Anolis sagrei: one gene and its partner. The protein of the gene in region 1 binds, or shares a complex with, the protein of each later gene. Links are inferred from orthologs where the notes say so. Each region holds a gene or a part of one and is shown on either strand. Other genes may lie near its edges.

Region 1 (10,811 bases):
ACAAAGACGTGGTTATGGGATCAGATTTTGGCCAGTAATGCAATGCAAAGAATAATCAGGAAATACGTGCTATGACAATGGGAATGGCCACAATGGATGATTTTTTGGATCATGTGATTTCAATATTTATATTAGGATGTTTTAGTGATTACATGTTGTATATGCCTATGTTTAATGGTTTTAAGGTTTTAAATTATAGTTATATGTCAGTGTTTATTTCTTGTGATTTTATTTTATTATTATGTTGGCATTGAATTCTTGCCATTAATATGTTGTAGACCGCCTTGAGTCCCCCCAGGACTGAGAAAGACGGTATGTAAATATACTAAATAATAAATAAATAAATGTGTAACACAAGAAAACACTTCATAAATCCTACTTACAGTAACCTTGACAAGAATTCTCATCCCAGATAGAAAGTTTTCTATGGGCAGTTAATCTTCACTTAAATATACACTTCAGCAGTTGTACACTTCACTTAATCTACTATTTAAGAGACCAAGCTCTCTGCTGCTTCAAGACTTTTTCAATCAGATGCTCTTCAGATGTTGTAGACTACAAGTCCCATCAGATTGCATCAGTCTGGCCAAATGATCAAACAGATTTTTTTCATGGGTGCAGATAAACCCTGCAACAGGTCAGCTGGATGGACTTCTGAGGCATTTGGACATAGTGTAATTTCACTAACTCCAAGTCAGTTTTCTCTGAATTGTTGATGCCTTATACTTAATATACATATCATACAGAGGATTATACAAATTTAGGACTGAATGTGACAACCTGTACAAGTTTCTTCCTGTTGTCCTATTTCCTGTCCTGTTATGATTGTATATTGTTCATATCAGGAAGTCTTGCATGTTTTATTTCATGAATGTATTTTCAAAAAATATGTTGACATATCTACAATAATTTCTGAGAAAGGTCACAGAGAAGAAATATTCTATAGATTAAGTGGAAATGCATCATAAATGTAAACAGTCTCGTTTTTGCTTTACCAAAGTGTCTAATTACACAATCAGCCCACATGTGAGCCATTGCTCAAAATATAAGTGCCCCAATCTCTTCTCTCTAGCACAGGAAGAATCAAAGCTGGAAGAGACCCCAAGGGGCAACCAGTCCAACCCCTGCCATGCAAGAACACACAATCAAAACATTCCCAACAGACAGCCATCCAACCTCTGCTTTAAAATCCCCACTCTACTGCACTCCAAGACAGTATTTTGCATTGCTAAACAGATCTAGCCATCAAGAAATCCTTCCTAACGTTTAGGTGGGATCTCTTTTCCTGCAATTGGAATCCATTGCTCCATGATGTAGTCTCCAGAACAGCAAAAAACAAGCTTGTCCTTTCCTCAATGTGACATCCTTTCAAATATTTAAACATGGCTAAAATGTCACCTCTCAGCCATCCTTTCCCTAAGCTGTCCCTCACAGAACTTGGTGCCCTTCTCTGGACATGTGAATATCCTTGTGTTGTGGTGCCCAGAACGGGACACAATATCACAGGTAAGGTCTCACCAACACGGAATGGAAGGAATTATGACTTCCCTCAATCTAGACCACAGCTTTCCAAATTGTGTGTCGCAATATATTAGGTCAGCTGCACTGTGTAGATGTGTCATGTGGAAGTAAGGAGAAATCTCTGAGTCTATGTGAAATAAGGAATAAATTGTATATTTTCAAAACATAGGTTTTAATTACATATGTTGTATCCCCATACATTTTATTATTACAATTTATGTATGTGTCTGTATCTCTTATAAAGGGTTGGTTTAACTTCCGGTTTGCTAGTAAAATTTAATTATGTGTCACAAAATGATGCATGTCTAAAAAGTATGTCACCAGCATGAAATATTTTGGAAAGCTCTGATCTAGACATTAGACCAGGCATGGGCAAACTTTGGGCCCCCGGGTGTTTTGGACTTCAACTCCCAAAATTCCTAACAGCCGATGGATGCAGCATTCGCTTTCTTTGCTGCTGCATCACTGATGATCATCTTATGCTCTACTAGTACTCCTTGATTATTATTATTTATACCCTACTTTTTCTCTCCACAAGGAGACTCAAAGCAGTTGGATTCTTTTCACATGTACTGTTTTCAAGTCAGTTGTCACCCGTTTTATACCCGTGCATCTCATTCTGCTTATTTATTTGCTTCATTTTTACCCAGCCTTTCTCACCCCGCAGGGAACTCAAGGCGGTTTACAAACTTCGGCAAAATTCAATGCCTCATGGACATAACAATGAACAGACCCCATTAAATAGTTAAACATATAGGTCGGTGTTATGGGAATTTGGGGAAGCAGTTAAAGCCGAGTCGAACTGAATCAATCCTGCACTGTAGATGCATCCAGCACCCACCACCTGCAAGCAGCTCCCCACCATGTGCTGCTATGGGGAGGGTAATAATAATAATAATAATAATAACTTTATTTATACCCCGCTACCATCTCCCCAAGGGACTCGGTGCGGCTTACATGAGGCCAAGCCCACAGTACATCAGTAAACAAACGTAATAACAAAAACAATCAATATAAAACAATTAATATAAATCACATAAACGAAAAATAAACAATAAACAATAACAGTAACAGTAATAATTTAAAATTTAAAAAATAATGCTGGGCATGAACAAGGTAGGATATAACTGGGATAGGGTTTTTCGAAGAGAGATGAGGGAATGCAGTCAGTCCTAAATCAGGGTAGGCTGGATAGCCTTCTAATAACTTAAATCAGTGGTTCCCAACCTGTGTCACCCCTGGTGTTTTGGCCTACAACTCCCAGAAATCCCAGCCAGTTTACCAGCTGTTAAGACAGGGGTCCCCAAACTTTTTAAACAGAGGGCCAGGTCACAGTCCCTCAAACTGTTGGAGGGCCAGATTATAATTTGAAAAAACATGAATGAATTCATTTGCACACTGCACATATCTTATTTGTAGTGCAAAAAAACACTTAAAAACAATACAATAATTAAAATGAAGAACAATCTTAACAAATATAAACTTATTAGTATTTCAATGGGAAGTGTGGGCCTGCTTTTGGCTGATGAGATAGGATTGTTGTTGTTGTTGTTATGTGCTTTCAAGTTGTTTCAGACTTAGGTTGACCCTGAGCGAGGGTCGGGTAAATGACCTTGGAGGGCCGCATCCGGCCCCTGGGCCTTAGTTTGAGGACCCCTGTGTTAACATATCTGGGAGTTGAAGTCCAAAACATCTGGGGACCCACAGGTTGAGAACCACTGACTTAAATGTAGCACCACAGATCTCTCCCTGTTGGAATTCGTTGTATCAGTTCTGGGCCAGCTCCCTAATCTGTTAAGGGCTGTTGACTCAATGCAACACACCTCTGGTCTTGAGCCAACGATCAGGAAGCAGGCCTGCCCTTCTCACACCTTTCGACACATTCAGGAAAACAAACAGGGCGCTCTCCTTGGTCGTGCGCTCGCCTGGTGTCAACATTTCTGGATTCACACAAGAGGGCAGAAGTCGGGGCCTGCCCTTTGTCGCCCTCGCCCTCCTCCGAAGGGAAGCGCGGCTCTGGGAAGCAAAGGGCTCCCTGCCTCTGAGGTGAAGGGCGGCAGTGACACGTCAAGCGCCCAAATTAGGCGGAGAGGGATCCCTCCTCGGTGTGGGTTGGCTTGGCGGTGCTGCACCCAGCACTTCAGGACCAAGGCCGAAGGGACTGGATGTCAGTGCCGCCCTGCTTTGCCCTCTCCGCCCGGGGTTCAGGGCGCGGCTCCCCTCGAAAGCGAGAAGCGGGGATTATCTAAGAGCGGCCCTCCGAGGAAGAAGGGCCCAAGCTGGGCGCCCAAGGAAGGAGACGGAGCCGCCTCAGCAGGACCCACAGCAGCCCTGCCGGCATCGCCAGCGTCGCCGCGGCCTCCGTCCCGGGAAGGGGGCGAGCGGAGGGAGGGAAGGCCTCTGCAAAGAGAGAGAGCGCGGCCGAGCCGGGGAGTCCGCCGGCGGGGCCAAGCGCGGGGCACCCGGGTGGCTGTCTACTCACTCTCGTCAGGCAGCTGATCCAACTCCGCCATCTTGAAGGAGCCGCGCCGCTTTTTCAAAGGCTGCCTGCCGCGGTGCATTGTGGGGGAGGAGACGGCGTCCTCCGGCGCGGCCTGACTGGAGGGAGGGAGGAGGGGGAGGCGCGCGGGACGCACGGGGCGGGGCCGCGCGCGCTGACGTCACTCGGGATCGGCTCCTGGACTCGGCTGAACTCTGGCCAGGGGCGGAGGCGCGAGCCTCAAGAGCAGCAGCAGCAGCACAGCCTGCTGCCAGGACATCACCGCCTGCCTTCTCTCATGCTGCAGCCCGAGCGCGAGGAGGAAGCCACTTTCCAGGCTCACAACAGCCTGCGCCTCACTTTTCCCAGGGCCCTTCCACACAGCCATAAAACCCAGAATATCAAGGCTGAAAAATCCAACACTATCTGCTTTGAACTGGGTCCACACTGGTATATTGGTATAGTACAATATAGTATTATATAATACTAATATTGTGCTGTGCTAATAATATAATATATTGTATACACATACAATATTAATATTATAATGTAATACAATATAATACTAATACAATATAATTTATTTCATATTACATGTAATATTACTAATATTACAGTTTAGTGTTATAATACAATATGGTAATATATAATACTAATATTGTGCTGTGCTAATATATATATGTATATTGTATACACATACAATATTGATATTATAATGTAATACAATATACTAATTGTTGTTCATTCGTTCAGTCGTCTCCGACTCTTCGTGACCTCATGGACCAGCCCACGCCAGAGCTCCCTGTCGGCCGTCACCACCCCCAGCTCCTTCAAGGTCAGTCCAGTCACTTCAAGGATGCCATCCATCCATCCATCTTGCCCTTGGTCGGCCCCTCTTCCTTTTACCTTCCACTTTCCCCAGCACCATTGTCTTCTCTAGGCTTTGCTGTCTTCTCATGATGTGGCCGAAGTACTTCAACTAATTCAAAGTAATTCAACTAATAATACAATATAATTTGTTTCATATTACATGTAATATTATTAATAATAATAACATTACAGTGTAGCAGTATAGTACAATATAATACTAATGTTCTGTGCTAATAATACAATATATTGTATACACATATATTGATATTATAATGTAATACAATATAACGCTAGTAATAACACAATATAATAATTTTATATTTCATATTACATGTAATATTACTAATATTACAGTATAGTTGTGTAGTACAATATAGTAATATATAATATTAATATTGTGCTATAGTAATATTATATACACATATAATATTGAAAATATTACAGTATAGTTGTATAATACAATATAGTAATATATAATACTAATTTTGTGCTGTGTTAATATTATAATAATATTGCAATATAATTGTAAATTTCATATTACATGTAAGATTACTAATAATATTATTCCAGTATAGTGGTCTAGTACATTATAGTAATATATAATACTAATATTGTGCTATGCTAATAATATAATATATTGTATGTACATATAACTAGTAAGCCGCTCTGAGTCCCCTTCGGGGTGAGAAGGGCAGCATATAAATGTCATAAATAAACAGTCCAAAGCAGATATGGGATTTTATTCAGCTGTATGGGAGGGGCCCCAGACCTAGTTGTAGTTTTACAAAGCTTTCAGCCTTCTCTGCCAATTCTACTTGTTGTTTATTCATTCAGTTCCTTCTGACTCTTCATGACCTCATGAACCAGCCAATGCCAGAACTCCCTGTTGGCCATGGCCACCCCCAGCTCTTTCAAGGTCAAGTCAGTCACTTCAAGGATAACATCAATCTATCTTGCCCTTGGTTGGCACCTCTTCCTTTTTCCTTCCAGTTCCCCCAGCATTATCATCTTCTCTAAGCTTTCCTGTCTTCTCATTATGTGGCCAAAGTACTTCATCTTGGCCTCTAATATCCTTCCCTCCATGAGCATTCAGACTTTATTTCCTGAAGTATGGACTGGTTTGATCTTCTTGTGGTCCAAGGCACTCTCAGAATTTCCAACACCACAGTTCAAAAACGTCTATCTTCCTTCGCTCAGCCTTCCTTATGGTCCAGCTCTCACATCCATAGGTTACTATGGCAAATACCATTGCTTTAACTATGGTGGATCTTTGTTGCCTCTGCTCTTCACTATTTTATTGAGATTGGTCATTGCTCTCCTTCCAAGAAGTAAATGTTTTCTGATTTCCTGGCTGCAGTCTGAGTCTGCAGTAATCTTTACGCCAAGAAATACAAAGTCTGTCACTGCCTCCACATTTTCTCCCATTTGCCAGTTATCAATCAGTCTGGTTGCCATAATCTTGGTTTTTTATGTTTAACTGCAACCAGCTTTTACACTTCCTTCTTTCACCTTGGTTAGAAGGCTTCTCAGTGGTATCATCTACACCTGTAGATGATACAATTCTTAACAGCCATATCATTCTTTCCCTGTTCATAAAGCACGGATAAGATTTCCTACTGGCTGTTAGGAATTGTGGGAGTTGAAGTCCAAAAAACCTGGAGGGCCAAAGTTTGCTCATGCCTGCCCTAACCTATCAAGGTGTTTTCTTGGAAAGTTATTGAGAGGGTCATCTTTACCTTCTTTTGAGGCTGAGTGTGACTTGCCCAAACACACACATTGGTTCTTCACAGCTGAATTGGGAGCCGATCCTTGGTCTCCAGGGCCATAATGCAATGACAAACCGCTTCACCATACTGGCTCTCAAAAGAGAAGTTTGGGTTAACTTCTGTAGACTGCACCCTGTTTTATCAGATTAAACTGCTTCTGCTCTGAAGGCGTTTTGCTCCACGTAGATGGTGGTTCTGGGATAACCGGTATTGTTTTCTTTTTTCAGCTTAAGTAATAGCAGCAAGTAGAACACACAGAATAGTTAAATCAGGCTTGGGTAAACTTCGGCCCTCCAGGTGTTTTGGACTTCAATTCCCTCTGCTAGGAATTGTGGGAGTTGAAGTCCAAACCACCTGGAGGGCTGAAGTTTGCTGAGGCCTGGGTTAGACTGATTTTCTACTGATAATACTGAATGAGTAAGCTGTGCATGGTGAGAAGAAATGCTTCTCACATACAAATAAACGATTGTTAATATGTACGTTGCTACATCAACCTTTAGCAAATGACATGCCTATGTCCAGAGTGTGTTCCCCATTGTGATCCTATTTAACTGGACATAACCCAGGAGAGGGGAATGCAGGGTGACACGAAGAAGAAAAGTACATAATTGTTCATCAGTTGGCCCTTCTTCAGTTAACTGCCATTGTGAAAATAAATCCAGCAAGCACTACAAATGTATCAGATGACTAGGAAACCATACTGGTTATAACAGATGAGCAAACTGTGGACCTCTAGGTGTTTTGGACTTCAACTCTCACAATTCCTAACAGAACACCTGGAGGTCCGACATTTGCCCATGTCTGGGTTGTAAGGTGTCCTGACACAGTAACTGGTAGACAATGGGGTCATCCTAATAAAGATGTCTGTGCCTCCTGCATGGTGGTGTTATGTGTCTGTTGTTGGAGGAAGCTGGGAGAAACAAGAGCCATTTAGTACTTGTGCCAGCTTACTGAGCTACAGGCCAGTCACTAGAGGCTATCACTTCGCATTTTGCGGTTCATACATTATTGTCCCTTTCTCTATCCCTTTTCTGTGCTAGACTGACACTGGGATTAAATTAATGGGAAGGCAAAGGCTGTGGCTTTTTTGTGTACATCAGCTGCACACACTGGGCATTTGTTTTCCATGGACATGGCAGGATTACAAAGATCCCAAAACACTGTAACAGCTTCTGTGGATATATGGTCAGATTAGTGTTCTGCAAGCCCTCTGGTGGCACAGTGTGTTAAACCGCTGCGCTGCTGAACTTGCTGACCAAAAGGTTGGCAGTTTGAATCGGGGTGCGGGATTTTTTATTTTTTTTGTCTTGTCAGGAGTGACTCCTGGTGTGAGAGAATTGGCCGTCTGCAAGGACGTTGCCCAGGGACGCCCGGATGAATTGATGTTTTTATCATCCTTGTGGGAGGCTTCTCTCATGTCCCCGCATGAGCAGCTGGAGCTGATAGAGGGAACTCATCCTCCTCTCCCCGGATTCGAACCTGCGACCTGTCGGTCTTCAGTCATGCCGGCACAGGGGTTTAACCCACTGCTCCACCGGGGTGCGGGATGAGTTCATACTGTTAGGCCCAGCTTCTGTCAACCTAGCAGTTTGAAAACATACAAATATAAGTAGATCAATAGGTACTGCTTCTGCAGGAAGGTAACTGCGCTCCATGCAGTCATGCCGGACATATGACCTTGAAGGTGTCTATGGATAACGCCAACTCTTCGGCTTAGAAATGGAGATGAGCACCACCCCCCAGAGTCAGACATGACCAGACTTAATGTCAGGGGAAACCTATATCTTGACCTAGTGTTCTGCAAATACTGACTGATGAAAGGAAGGTGTTTACAGTTTTTTTCGGTTGTGGGAGAAGCCTTGGTTTTGGATAAGGTGATTGGCCACTTGGCTACCACTATGATAAACATGACTCCTTGGGTATCACATGTGACTGACACTCATCAGCTGCAGAGATGCTGAAGTGTCTCCCAAGATTATCACATCAGCCTTCATATACACAGCAGCTCTTACACTGCTGAGCTTGCTGCTGTTTGAGAATAGGATCACAATTAGAACACAAAGACATAACTCCTGATGTATTCACCCAGCATACCATGGGCATAGGACTTCACTAGTTACTGTAGCATAAGGATAAAGAATTAGTATGAAATTAGCTTTTATTTTTTGCTTCAAAATAAACAGGTTTAACATTTATTCATAATAGAAACTAAGGAAGATGTGTGGATTTTGGAAGAAAATCCAATGTATCTGCAAACAGTTCTAAGTTCGTCCCCTACCTCACTTAGCAAAGGCTATAACCAAGAGTTTTTAGTAGTATTTTGGTCTGTTGCTTAATGGTTAGAAGAGACACAGCAGTCCCCAAACTAGTATGGACCAAAGAGAGGAAGGGGGGGGGGGGGCACACAATTCTCATAGTATTCAATCTCATGTGTTGTAGCCACAAGAGAGTAAAGAAAAATCCTTACAAAAGTGATTAAGGTCAGCATAGCCCTGAAACTTAGTTCTTGTATCTCAGCAGTGGTAGGAATACTTAGATGTTTCAGCAGGTTTTATAGCATTAACTCTTTTAACAAGTTTGATTCTTGTTCACCAGAGGGAAGTTTTATATTTGAAATCCAGCTTCAGCAAGTACTTCAGATTTACCTGAGCGACATCATAGACGATATATCTGAAACAACAAGTTAAGGCTAGACCTTGTAAAACAAATTTCACCAAAACAAAACATTAGTCACACGTGACTGCTTTCAATTCTTACAGTAGCAATAGGGGGGAAAATAGCCAACCTGAACCTCTAAATATTCTTACATATCCTTCCACTAATAATAAAGAGAATAAAATAATAAATGTAATAATAATAGTAAATGTCATAATAATCATAATCATATTAAATAGAGTAAAGTAATAAATGTAATAACTTTGATTTGAGTATAAGCCAAGGGGAGCTTTTTCAGCCTAAAAAAGGGCTGAAAAATTCAGCTTATACTCGAGTATATACGGTATTTAATTTGTACTATTAACCACCTCTGTGCTGTATAAAATGGTATACAATTTAAAATCCAGCATTATTTTTAAACGCACAAATAAATTTAAATATCTCACTACAAATTGTAACAGCTTAGTCGCTCTCAAAGGCTATGATAGTCAGCTAATTTTACATTTTTAACATTGTGTGAGAGATGGAACCACCCTATAACTTTATTCTATTTCAAGGTGATATTAAATTGAACATTCTCCAAGGGATGGCAGCCATACCAGGAGCTCTTCCGATTACATTCATAGCAGAGGAGCGAGTAAAAAAGAATTATAATGTTTGTCAGTAGATGCCAGACTACCATATGTTTAAGACAAAACATTCCAATGATTCAAACATTTTATGGATATTATTCTTAATGCAACTCATCTGATTTTTGAAACTAGGCATAGTCAAATGTGGTTAGTACTTCCATGGAAGACTATGGAGTAATGAGAAAAGAAAAATCCAAGTTTGAAACGAGAGGTACTGTTAGCTGTCAATACTGGGCTCACTGGACCCAATCAATACTTTCAAATATCCTAGATTAAAACTGTTCATTGAAAACTGTCACAACTGAACTCAGCTCTAAGGCTTTGTGCTCACTAATCCTAATAGTGTATCTGTGCATTATCAGTTTCATACTTTTAATTAATCAATAAAAGTGTGCAGTTTGGTGAGCTACGTCAAATATTCTTATGGAAAAATGACCCTATTATTTGTCAATCCAAAGATTCAGGTTACATCAGGAACTATAATTCAGGAGGATAAACAAAGCTCTTTTGAGGAGAATTGTAAATCTATCACCAAACTATAAATCGATTTATAGTTTATATTTAATACGATTAAGCCATGACAACATGATACAAAACAGATATAACTGCCAGTCAGTCTAAAGAAGACTTGTTAGATGGATCTATTTTCTCACCATGTAAGGCAGCTTCTGCTGTATTCTTAACAAAGAGTAAATTCTGAGCTAAACAGAGCACGCTGAAGATTATAATACCCAAGTATTAAGCCATGTTTGATGGTAGCAGGTTCTCCTAAAGGACATTCCACCATCTCCTGCCTCAAAGTGGCCACCTGACAAAGTGAATCAAGACAAATCATAAAGACCCATACATTTTCATTACAGATGCAGGCATGGGTTCATACTTGTGCCT
Region 2 (11,462 bases), on another chromosome or scaffold:
ACTGAAGTAATTCCACCCTCCCATATTTTTTCAATTGAGTTTACTCTCAACGAAATACATATTGGATAGCAGATGAAAGTACACTTAGGCTGTTGGAGTTTTTTATATTATAAGCTTTAACCTAGATAAAGATAAGCTGGTGAACTGTGGGCCACACAGTACTACTGTTTGGTGGATTAGTAATTGCTTCACCGACTGGACCTGATGGTTGCTCCATCCTGGAAAGAAGTGACTAGTTAGAATGCCTCAGGGTTCTGTCCTAAGTTTGGAGTTGCTTAACATCTTTATAAATCACTAGCGTATAACCGGCATCGACTGCGTATACATTTTCTTTGTGGTTCTTTCTTTCCTTCCTCTGTTTCCCTCATACATCTTCTCCCTCTTGCTTTTCTTCCTTTCCTTCCTTCTTTCCTTGCTTTCTCTCATACACATTTCCCCTCATCTATCTTTCCTTTCTCCTCCTTCTTTCTTCTCTCTCTTCCTTTGTCCCTTCTTTCTTCCCTTTCTTCCCCTCATACCATTTCCTTTCCCCCCCCCCTTTTTATTTCTTTTTTCCTCTTTGTCCCCTTTTCTTCCCTTTCTTTAATAATAATAATAATAATAATACATCTTTATTTATACCCCACCACCATCTCCCATAGTGATTCGGGGAAGCTTACATAATAGCACAAAAAGGTGTCATACATTACATAAAATAAAATACATCAACATGTGAAATCAATAACACATTACATAAATCAGATGTATAAATTAAGTAAAAAAAACCCATCTATTAAATAAATTCAATAAAATATGGCCATAACTGTTGATTAAAAGATACATAAATCAATGTAGCAGCCCAGCTGAAGGCCCATACAGTGTGGATATAAAGTGCTAAGTAATTAGCAGTCAGTTCTGGCAACTGTCTAAACATTATCAAAAGCCTGCTGAAAAGAAAGAAGTTTTTAGCTCTTTCCAAAAGTGCTGTAATGTGTCTAAGTTCCCTGGGGAGGGTGTTCCAGAGCCAGGGGACTACCACGGAGAAGGTCCTCTCTCTCGCCCCCACCAACCACACTTGAGATGGAGGTAGGACCGAGAGGAGGGCCTCCCCGGCAGATTTTAGAGCCTGTGCCGCTTCATAGGGGGAGATGCGGTCATGAAGATAGCCTGGACCTGAACAGTGTAGGGCTTTATAGGTAATAATCTGCACTGTGAATTGGGACTGGAAACTTACAGGCAGCTAGTGGAGCTGCTTCAGTAGGGGTATGGCATGCTCCCTATAGCTAGCTCCAGTTAGTAACCTGGCTACCGATCTTTGCACCAACTGCAATTTCCAAGCTGTCTTCAAAGACAGCCCCACGTAGAGTGCATTACAGTAATCCATTCTAGAAGTAACTAAGGCATGGACAGCAATGGCCAAGTCAGGCTTCTCGAAGTACAGTCGCTGCTGGTGCACAAGTTTTAACTGTGCAAAGGCCCTCCAGGCCATCGCCAACACCAGGAGGAGCCCCTGACTGTGGAACCTGTGTCCTCAGGGGGAATGTAACCCCGTTTCTAATATTTGTAATTTCTTTATGTTTGTGGGTAAACAGTATTTCTTGTTGTTTTTTGTCAGTGTTGATTTACATTGTCTGGTTTGCCTACTCTGGAACATGCAACATATAATTGTTCTTCTTTAGGGATCCCTTTCAAACCAATGAAACTATATCTGTCATATATATGTGTGTGTTTGAATAATATATATCTGTATCTATGGCTGGATAGCTCTTTGTCAGGAGGACTTTGATTATTTTTTCTTACCATGGTGAAGGGAGTTGGACTGGATGGCCTTAAGGCAGCATTTCTCAACCTGAGGTTCAGGACCACTGGGGGGGGGGGTCGTGAGGGGGTGTCAGAAGGGTCACCAAAGTCCACCAGAAAGCACAGTATTTTCTGTTGGTCATGGGGGTTCTATGTGGGAAGTTTGGCCCAATTCTATCGTTAGTGGGGTTCAGAATGCTTTTTGATTGTAGGTGAACTGTAAATCCCAGTAACTACAACTCCCAAATGTCAAGGTCTATTTCCCCCAAACTCCAAATCTGGCGGCAATTCGTCCAGCGGATTTTGAGTTATGATGTCACTCAAAACAAACAAAGCATTTATATACATACTTACTTAGGTGATCCCTCATTGTCCGAGTAGGATAGTCTTCCAAGATCAGTGTAGTGGTGGTGGGTCCGCAGGTGACTGTGGAGCCCTATTCTTGATATGCATCTTCTCCCGCAGTGAGGGCATTGGTTTCCAGGTGGAAGGCGGTCTTGGTCAGTGTTGGTTTGATGTGTCTTCCTCTTGGCACATTTCTCCCTTTTTTCCCTCCATTCGTGCCTCTTCAAATTCTACAGCACTGCTGGTCACAGCTGACCTCCAGCTGGGGCTCTCAAGGGCCAGGGCTTCCCAGTTCTTAATGTCTATGCCAGAGTTTTAAAAGTTGGCTTTGAGCCCATCTTTAAATTTCTTTTCCTGCCCACCAACATGACAGATATAGTATCATAGATTTGAAAGAAACCCCTAAAGAAGGACAATTATACAGGGTGAGGCAGCAGAACTTCCTTTTTTTAAATGGGCGCCATTCAGTCAGTTGAAGACGTAGCAGAGCGCTAGTGGTCTCGTTCGAGGGGTGGGAGTATAAAGTTTTGTCCATGCACAGTTCCGTCGCCATTATGCATTGGAACAGTGAGGAGCGTGCTTTTGCCATTGAGGCCTACTTTTCAAGCAGATTTGGAGTGGCCGGCCTGCTCTCCAGATTTAGCCCCTTGTGATTTTTTTCTATGGGTTTTTTTGAAATCCCGTGTTTATGTGAACCGTCTAAGGACCTTACAAGATTTGAAGACCAACATCCAGGAAGAAATTGCCAACATAACGCCTGTTATGCTGGCAAGTCATAACAAACGCCAGAAATCGGTTTACTCAGTGTATGGAGAATGGGGGACGACACCTACCTAATTTGATCTTCAAAACTATGTAAAATAAATCTTTAGGTATGCGCCTACATTACAAAAAAAATTAAAAATTTCTGATTCATACAATAATGGGTTTTATTAAGTTTTGAAAAAAGGAAGTTATGCTGCCTCACCCTGTATATTGTATATTCCAGAGCAGCCAAACCAGACAATCTCTACATCAACATTGATAAAGAAACAATAAGAAATACCGTTTACCCACAAGCATCAAGAAACTACATATATTAGAAACCAACACTTTCTCGTTACTTTATTTTCCAGATCACCAGACTGGGCCACAGTAACGCATGGCAGGGGACGGCTAATATATATATAATCAGCAGAGTTTAAAAAGTATTCCTTTTAGTTTTCCAAAAACGTCTACTCTCCCTTAAAATATATTTGCCAGGTTGTGCTATTAAGCTTTCATGATGCTTAAGGCAGGTTAGTAAGGTTGGCTATTAAGGTTGGTAGTTTAAAGTTGTTGTTTTTTTTTTTTTTTGGAACCACCTATTACAAATCATCCTCTGGAAACGGTACACGTGGTCCCTGAAAGGCGTACATTTGGAACAAATTAATTGCTACAAATATCTAGACATTATGTTCTCTTCATCTGGTGCTTGTGCTAACCATATTACTCATAGTATACAAAGAGCAACAAAAGCAGCAGGTTCCATTTATAAGCTGTACCATCATAGATACCCAGTCACAATCAGACCTGCCCTGGAAGTCTTTAAAACAAAAATAATGCCAACACTTATATTTGGGGCTGAAATTTGGGGGCAAATCAATTTGGCCAAGATCGAAGCCTTCCAAGTTAAGCAGCTTCACACCTTCCTGGGCCTTTCCAGAACAACGCTGATGGCGGCAGTAAGGGCTGAGCTAGGAATACTCCCAGTAAAAGCTCAAATCTTAATGAGACAGTTTAATTACTGGTCAAAATAAACTCTATGGATCCCAGTAGACTTCCTTGTCTATGTCTAGAAGATCAAGTCCAGCATGACCAGAAGTCATCATAGATGGCGGCTCTGAATAATGAGTTGGCTGGATTCGGTCTGCCTTTGCAATTTCTGGGTGTTTTGGGTCCCGGAGCAGGGCAAGTGCTCAAGCGGCGCATTCGGGACGTCTATGCACAGCTGGACCTAGAGAGCATAGGTAGGTCTTCAGCCACAAGGTGTTTAGCTTCCCACAAAAGGAATATTCATTTAGAGCACTACCTAACTATTCCACTTCCACTACCCTTAAGAAGAATATATACTAGGGCTAGGTTTGAACAACTTGGTATTATGGTGCAAACCGGGCACTACTGTACATCCCAAGAAGAGAGAGATTCTGTGTATGGGGAGAACAAACAGTGGAAGACATTGAACATTTCTTAATTGACTGTCCAGCATATACTGAACTGTGAGACAGATATTTACATCCAGTATTATCCAACTGCAGGTCCCCCAACAGAAATGATATTCTGACATCCCTCTTGCGAGGGCAGGAAAGATCCAGCATAATCAGAGTAAGCCTTTTTATTCTGAAAGCTATTAAGAAAAGAGCAGATTTCCTGAAAGAAGAACCAGGAAAATAAGATTCTGACTATAAATGGAAGGTCAGCTGCTGTCCTCACCTTTTTGCCTTGTTTTTTACTCATGTTCCATTTTGAAATGGTCATATGACTGATCAAATAAATAAATAAATATATTATTATTATTATTATAAATCATCCTCTGGTTTAAAAAAATCCATGTTCTGTAAGTGGAAGACAACTCCTGTAATTCCTGGCTTTGAGTATGCTTGCTGTAGTTTTATTAGATGCAACCTAAACAGAGAGTCCAAATTCCCAAACTCTAGTCCTCCAGGTAATTTGGACTCAACTACCAGTGGCTCTGGCTTGGATTCTTGTTATTTTATGATGTTTTATACTTACTATCGATGTATTTGGATTGTTGTTTACATTATTTTAATATGTTGTCAGCTGCTTTGGCTTCCGTGAGGGAGAAAGATGAGATATAAATATTTATTATTATTATTTATTCTGGGAGCTGAAGTAAAAAAATAATAATTGGAAGACACAACGAGGACATGAAGTTGTTTACTTCCAAGAACAGAATTAAACTAGCGGTCCCCTGCCACGCGTTGCTGTGGCCCAGTCTGGTGATCTGGAAAATAAAGTAATGAGAAAGTGTTGGTTTCTAATGTATGCAATGCCTTTTTGCTTGTGAGTAAACAGTATTTCTTGCTGTTTCTTTGCCAGTGATGATGTAGAGATTGTCTGGTTTGCTTCCTCTGGAACATGCAACATATCATTGTCCTTCTTTAGGGGTCCCTTTCAAATCTTTGATACTGTATCTGTCATATACGTATATGTATGTGTGTGAATGGCTGGATTGCCCTTTGTCAGGAGGGCTTTATGTTTTCTTGCCCTGGTGAAGGGAGTTGGACTGGGTGGCCTTAAGGCAGCATTTCTCAACCTGAGAAGTCAAGACCCGGGGGGGGGGGTCACCAGGGGGGTGTCAGAAGGGTCACCAAAGACCACCAGAAAACATAGTATTTTCTGTTGGTCATGGGGGTTCTGTGTGGGATGTTTGGCCCAATTCTATCGTTGGTGGGGTTCAGAATGCTCCTTTATTGTAGGTGAACTATAAATCCCACTTACTACAACTCCCAAATGCCAAGGTCTATTTTCCCCAAACTCCATCTGTGTTCACATTTGGGCATATTGAGCATTCCTGTCAAATTTGGTCCAGATCCATCCTTGTTTGAGTCCACAGTGTTCTCTGGATATAGGTGAACTACAATTCCAAAACTTAAGGTCAATGCTCACCAAACTCTTCTAGTGTTTTCTGTTGGTCATGGGAGAGCTGTGTGCCAAGTTTGGTTCAATTCCATTGTTGGTGGAGTTCCGAATGCTCTTTGATTATAGGTGAACTATAAAACCCAGAAACTACAACTCCCAAATGACAAAATCATAATTTTTTGAGTGATGGTCACTCCTTGTGTTGTGAGACTCTTTGTTGCCAAATTTGGTGTGATTTTGTTCATTGGTTCTTTTGTTTTTAAGGTACGCATTATGCACAGACCATTTTTATATAGAGAGATACTATTCACACATCTATGGGATCTACTGAATTCTATATCTTTCTCCCATGTATAAATAAAATGGTTTGCTTTTAGAGAGAGAGAGAGAGAGATTGGAACAGAAGACAATGACATGCTTACCAAATTTGACAGTATTTCAGACAAGAACATCGATTCCTCTTCCTGGAAGAGCTGCTTGACAGTCACAGACACTGCCTCAAAGAATGGAATCCTCTTCAAGGGGCTCCGGGAAAGCTCCACACAACCCACTTCCCAACGAGGCCTACCTCTACCCTTCAAGCCTTTCCCGCTCTCCTCAAAACAAACTTACCGCCCGATGGTCACTTAGCAACCGAAACAGGAAGCCACCCCAAAGCATGCCGGGTAAACCATCCCCCTAGCGTCAACTCCGGTAGTGTACTACCTTTCCCAAGACGCTTTGCGACCAACACAACCTGAAATTCATCCTGAGGTAGAGGCACGTGAGCAAGCCAAATCCCAGGCGCATGCGCAAACCAAATCCAGTTGGAAACACAGCGACTGAAGCCCTCCACAGGCCGCAACTTCCGGGCAACCTCCACTTCCGGCTCTTCCAACATGGCTGCGCTGCCACTTCCGCTCCTTTGCTTAGGCCTACAGTTCCCGGCATGCAGCGCTCCAGAGGCGGTTTTTCTGCTTCGTGCAAACGTCCGAAGGGAGAAAAAGGAAGTGTCGAGAGTAGGGAAGGCAGTCACTCGAGACCCGTTGCAGGCAGCGCCTCGGCAGCCTTTCCCTGAGAGCCCAAAGGGCCTCGAAACGTAAGTAGAGGCAGGGTGTACCTGCAGTGTAGACTTAACCCGGGTTGACACCGCTTTAATTGCCATGGCTCAATGCTAGAGGATCCTGGGAGTTGCATTTTTACACATTCTTTAGTCTTTTCTACCCAAAGTGCTGATGTCTCACCGAACGACAATGAATCTTGTATTTTTTTACATTTGTAGCAGGATATTTTGAGCTGTATAAGATTTGAATAGGGAACAATAATAGTTGCACTCACTGACTCATTCCTGTGGGAGAAGATATTTAGTCAGAAGATAACTGAGTAGAATGTTTCCTTTATATGGCTTAGTTAAAAAGTGAAGAGCTGATGTAATGTATATATATATACAGGCTGTTCATGTCAGCTGTCACGGACTGGATGAGGGACAACAGATTGAAACTGAATCCAGACAAGACAGAGGTACTCCTGGTCAGTCGAAAGGCCGAACAGGGTACGGGGTTACAGCCTGTGCTGGACGAGGTCACACTCCCCCTAAAAGCACAGGTACGCAGCCTGGGAGCTCTCCTGGATTCATTGCTGAACCTGGAACCCCAGCTTTCAGCGGTGGTCAGGCGAGTATTCGCACAATTAAAACTTGTGCGCCAGCTGCGTCCGTACCTTGGGAAGGCTGACTTGGCCACGGTAGTACACACTTTGGTTACATCCCGCTTAGATTACTGCAACACTCTCTACGTGGGGTTGCCTCTGAAGACTGCCCGGAAGCTGCAGCAAGTACAACGCGCGGCAGCCAGATTACTAACGGGGGCTGGGTACAGGGAGCACACCACTCCGCTGTTACTCAAACTCCACTGGCTGCCAATTAGCTTCCGAGCACAATTCAAAGTGCTGGTGTTAACCTATAAAGCCCTAAACGACTCCGGCCCTGTTTACCTCTCCGAACGTATTCTCCCCTACGAACCATCAAAACCACTAAGATCGTCTGGAGGGGCCCTGCTCTCGGTCCCACCACCTGCACAAGCACGGCTGGTGGGGACGAGGGACAGGGCCTTTTCGATGGTGGCCCCTCGACTTTGGAACTCCTTACCATTAGAGATCAGAACTGCCCCCTCCCTCATGACGTTCAGGAAACTAACAAAGACCTGGTTGTGGAACGCGGCATTTGACAACTGATTTAATTCTTTGCCCACATGAAAGGAGGATGATGAATGGGATTGTGATGGTGTTGGACGATTTGGCTCTTTTAACTGTGATGATAATGTTTTAATGTGTATGGTGCTGATATTTTAATCGTGTAATGAAGTGGCATTGTGTTGTTATTGTATATTCTTTGTATGTTAACACATGTTGTGAACTGGTCCGAATCCCTCTTTGAAGGTGAGAGGGTCGGTATATAAAACCTTGAAATAAATAATAATAAATAAATATATATAAAAATGGTCTGTGCATAATGAGTTCCACACAGCCCTATATCCCATAATATCTGCTTTGAACTGGGGACCCTTCCACACAGCTGAATAAAATCATACATTATCTGCTTTGACCTGGAATATATGGCAGTGTGGACTCAAATAACCCAGTTCAAAGCAGATAGTATGGGATTTTTTTGCCTTGATATTCTGGGTTCCACCTTGTCTCCTGTGCTATGCTAATAATGTAATGTAATGTGCCGGCAGGACTGAAAACCAACAGATCACAGCTTCGAATCCAGGGAGAGGCGGGTGAGCTCCCTCTATCAGCTCCAGCTCCTCATGCGGGGACATGAGAGAAGGATGATAAAAACATCAAATCATCTTGGCGTGCCCTGGGCAACGTCCTTGCAGATGGCCAATTCTCTTACACCAGAAGCGACTTGCAGTTTCTCAAGTCGCTCCTGACACGGCAAATGTAATGTAATATATTGTGTATATATATAATATTTATAATATTGGAATTTAATGCAATATAATACTACTACTAATAATAATAATATATTATAATTATATATTTATATTACATGTAGTATTGCTAATAATATTACAATATAATGGTATAGTACAATATAGTAATATTTAAGACTGATATTGTACTAGGCTCATAACATATTGTATGTATATATATATCTTGTAAGCCACTCTGACTCCCCTTCAGGGTGAGTAGGGTGGCATATAAATGTTGTAAATAATACATAAATAAATATACATGAAAGGTTTTCATGAGAACTTCTCTGCCTGGCTGTCTACAATATGTACTAGCTGACCAATTAAAGATACAGGAACGCAGACATACTATAGAAAATTGTGGCTTTCATGGCCAGAATCCCAGAGTTGCTGTGAGTTTTCCAAACTGTCTGGCCATGTTCAAGAAGCATTTTCTCCTGACGTTTCACCCACATCTATGGCAGGCAGCCTCGGAGGTTGTGAGGTCTGTTGGAGACTAGGAAAATAATAATATTTTTTATTTATACCCCACCACCATCTCCCCAATGGGCCCTCGGGGCAGCTTACATGAGGCCAAGCCCAGAAATGCATTACAGCAAAATAAAACCAAAACACAAAATAAACATCACAATAAAATGAAACATAAGAATTCAGTAAAATAATGCAAAATACAGTAATAGATAAATCACAATCACAGTGAGTGGGCCACATGTACAAGGTAACAATTTTACACATTCTTTAGTCTTTTCTACCCAAAATGCTGGTGTTTCACCGAACGACAATAAATCTTGTAATTTTTGACATATATATGAAAAGCTTTCATGAGAACCGTTCTTCCAGGTTGTCTACAATATGTACTAGCTGACCAGTTATTGATACAGGAACGCAGACATACTATAGAAAAGGGAATAATTGTGGCTTTCATGGCCAGAATCACCGAGTTGCTGTGAGTTTTCCAAACTGTCTGGCCATGTTCAAGAAGCATTCTCTCCTGACATTTCACCCACATCTATGGCAGGCATCCTCAGAGGTGTGAGGTCTGTTGGAAACTAGGAAAATGTGGTTTAAATATCTTTGGAAAGACCAGGGTGGGAGAAAGAACTCTTATCTGTTGGAGGCAGGCGTGAATGTTTCAGTTGGCCACTTTGATTAGCATTTAATGACCTTGCAGCCTCAAAGACTGGCTGGTTGCCGCCTGGGAGAATCCTTGGTTAGAAAGTGTTACCTGGCCCTGATTGTTTCTTGTCTTGAATTCTCTTTTTTCTGAGTGTTGCTCTTTATTTACTGTCCTGATTCTAGAATTTTTTAAATAGTAGCCAGATTTTGTTCATTTTCATGGTTTCCTCCTTTCTGTTGAAATTGCCCACGTGCTTGTGGATTTCAATGGATTCTCTGTGTAGTCTTACATGCTGGTTGTTAGAGTGGTCCAGCATTTCTGTGTTCTCAAATAATATGCTATGTCATCAGGTGATTTGCTATGGTTGACTTTTCAGATGGAATTAGTCTGCAGTGCCTCTCATGTTCCTTGGTTCATGTTTGAGCAATGCTGCGTTTGGTGGTTCCTATGTAGACTTGTTCACAGCTGCATGGTATATGGTAGACTCCTGCAGAGGTGAGAGGATCCCTTTTGTCCTTCACTGAATGTAGCGTTTGTTAAATTTTCTTTCTGGTTCTGTAAATAGTTTGTAGGTTGTGTTTCTTCATCAGCTTCCCTATGCAGTCAGTGGTTCCCATGATGTAAGAACTTTTCCTCTTGGTGGATCTTTGTTTTTGCTCTCATGGCTTGTTCTTGGTCTTGCAGTTCTTCTAATGTATGTGATGGAGTACCCATTGGCCTTAGAGAATCTGTGAACCCCACCTCCTCCAAAGTGAACTGAGCCACCTAAACTGGGTTCTACAGGCCAATGGAGGCTCTTCCACAGACATCAGAAGAGCTGCAAGACAAAGAACAAGCAATGAGAGTAAAGACAAAGATCCACCCAGAGGAAACGTGTCTGTGGTAGAGTATCTATTCACCTGTAGAGCCCAGTTTAGATGGTTCAGTTCACCTTGGAACCTTGGAGGAGCTGGAGCTCACAGACACATTTTGCACGGTCTGCCAGGGCTTTGATTGAGCTTTTTTGATTTGGGTGATGGTTGGAATTTTTATGTAGGTATCCTATCTGTTTATGTAGGTTTTCTGTAAGCTGTGTGGCCCAGTTGTTGATTGGGTTTGCAGATGACTATGGCATCTAGAAATGGCGGTTTTCCTTTATTTTCTTTGGAGCCATGGAGAAGAAGAACTCAACAAGATAGTTATTGAAAAACTATAGCAAAATGTGCTGCAGGATGTCCCTCCTGCAAAAACATTTTTTTTTCAGTTTAATGTACTTTTGCCTTGTTTTTATGATAGTACCAATTAGGAAATGACATTTATAACCCAGGAACAAAATTTGTTTACATAGTGCAATTGATGCCAAAGGCAAAGGAAAAAAATAGATTTGGTTAAAAGCGGACTATTAATGCTAGAAGAGTTTAAGATTTAATGACTGGTGAGATTGGTCACTTAAAGTTGACATAATTAAAATCAAATTAAGAGGGAAGATAGAGATATGCAGATGTGCCAAAGGATACCCGACAGAAGGGACTCCATATACAGCAGTAGGCAGGCTCTGTGTTAGGGGAAATGTGATCAGTAAAAGGCTCTTTTGACAATACTTCTGATGGGACCCAAGGGGGAGGTAGCATGGAGAAAGGGAAGAGTGAAAGGTGAACTTCACC

Evidence for each region.
Region 2: the proteins of LIN9 (region 1) and LIN37 are in contact, whole or in part, in a crystal structure (PDB 7N40), measured with the Homo sapiens proteins. The link is inferred for Anolis sagrei from reciprocal best matches to the Homo sapiens genes LIN9 and LIN37. Residues at the interface, in NP_001353174.1 of Homo sapiens: Lys99, Ala101, Ser102, Gln103, Lys104, Ile105, Gly106, Arg108, Leu109, Arg110, Leu112, Leu113, Lys114, His119, Trp121, Cys122, Ile123, Glu125, Trp126, Phe127, Thr227, Leu237, Phe238, Leu272, Ser273, Asn274; in NP_061977.1 of Homo sapiens: Tyr95, Ile97, Leu99, Phe100, Asp101, Arg102, Val104, Leu106, Ala107, Phe109, Ser110, Glu111, Asn112, Thr113, Pro114, Leu115, Tyr116, Ile118, Cys119, Arg120, Trp122, Met123, Asn125.

Annotation. Positions count from the first base shown.
Region 1 is NC_090021.1:39,811,702-39,822,512, forward strand, and holds the start of LIN9 (protein lin-9 homolog), read right to left. Parts: upstream 4,116-10,811; 5' UTR 4,083-4,115; coding exon 4,004-4,082; intron 1-4,003. Other genes in the region: PARP1 (poly [ADP-ribose] polymerase 1), read right to left, coding at 9,225-9,306. UniProt on the Homo sapiens protein: Acts as a tumor suppressor. Inhibits DNA synthesis. Its ability to inhibit oncogenic transformation is mediated through its association with RB1. Plays a role in the expression of genes required for the G1/S transition.
Region 2 is NC_090034.1:88,074,371-88,085,832, reverse strand, and holds the start of LIN37 (protein lin-37 homolog), read left to right. Parts: upstream 1-6,612; 5' UTR 6,613-6,823; intron 6,824-11,462.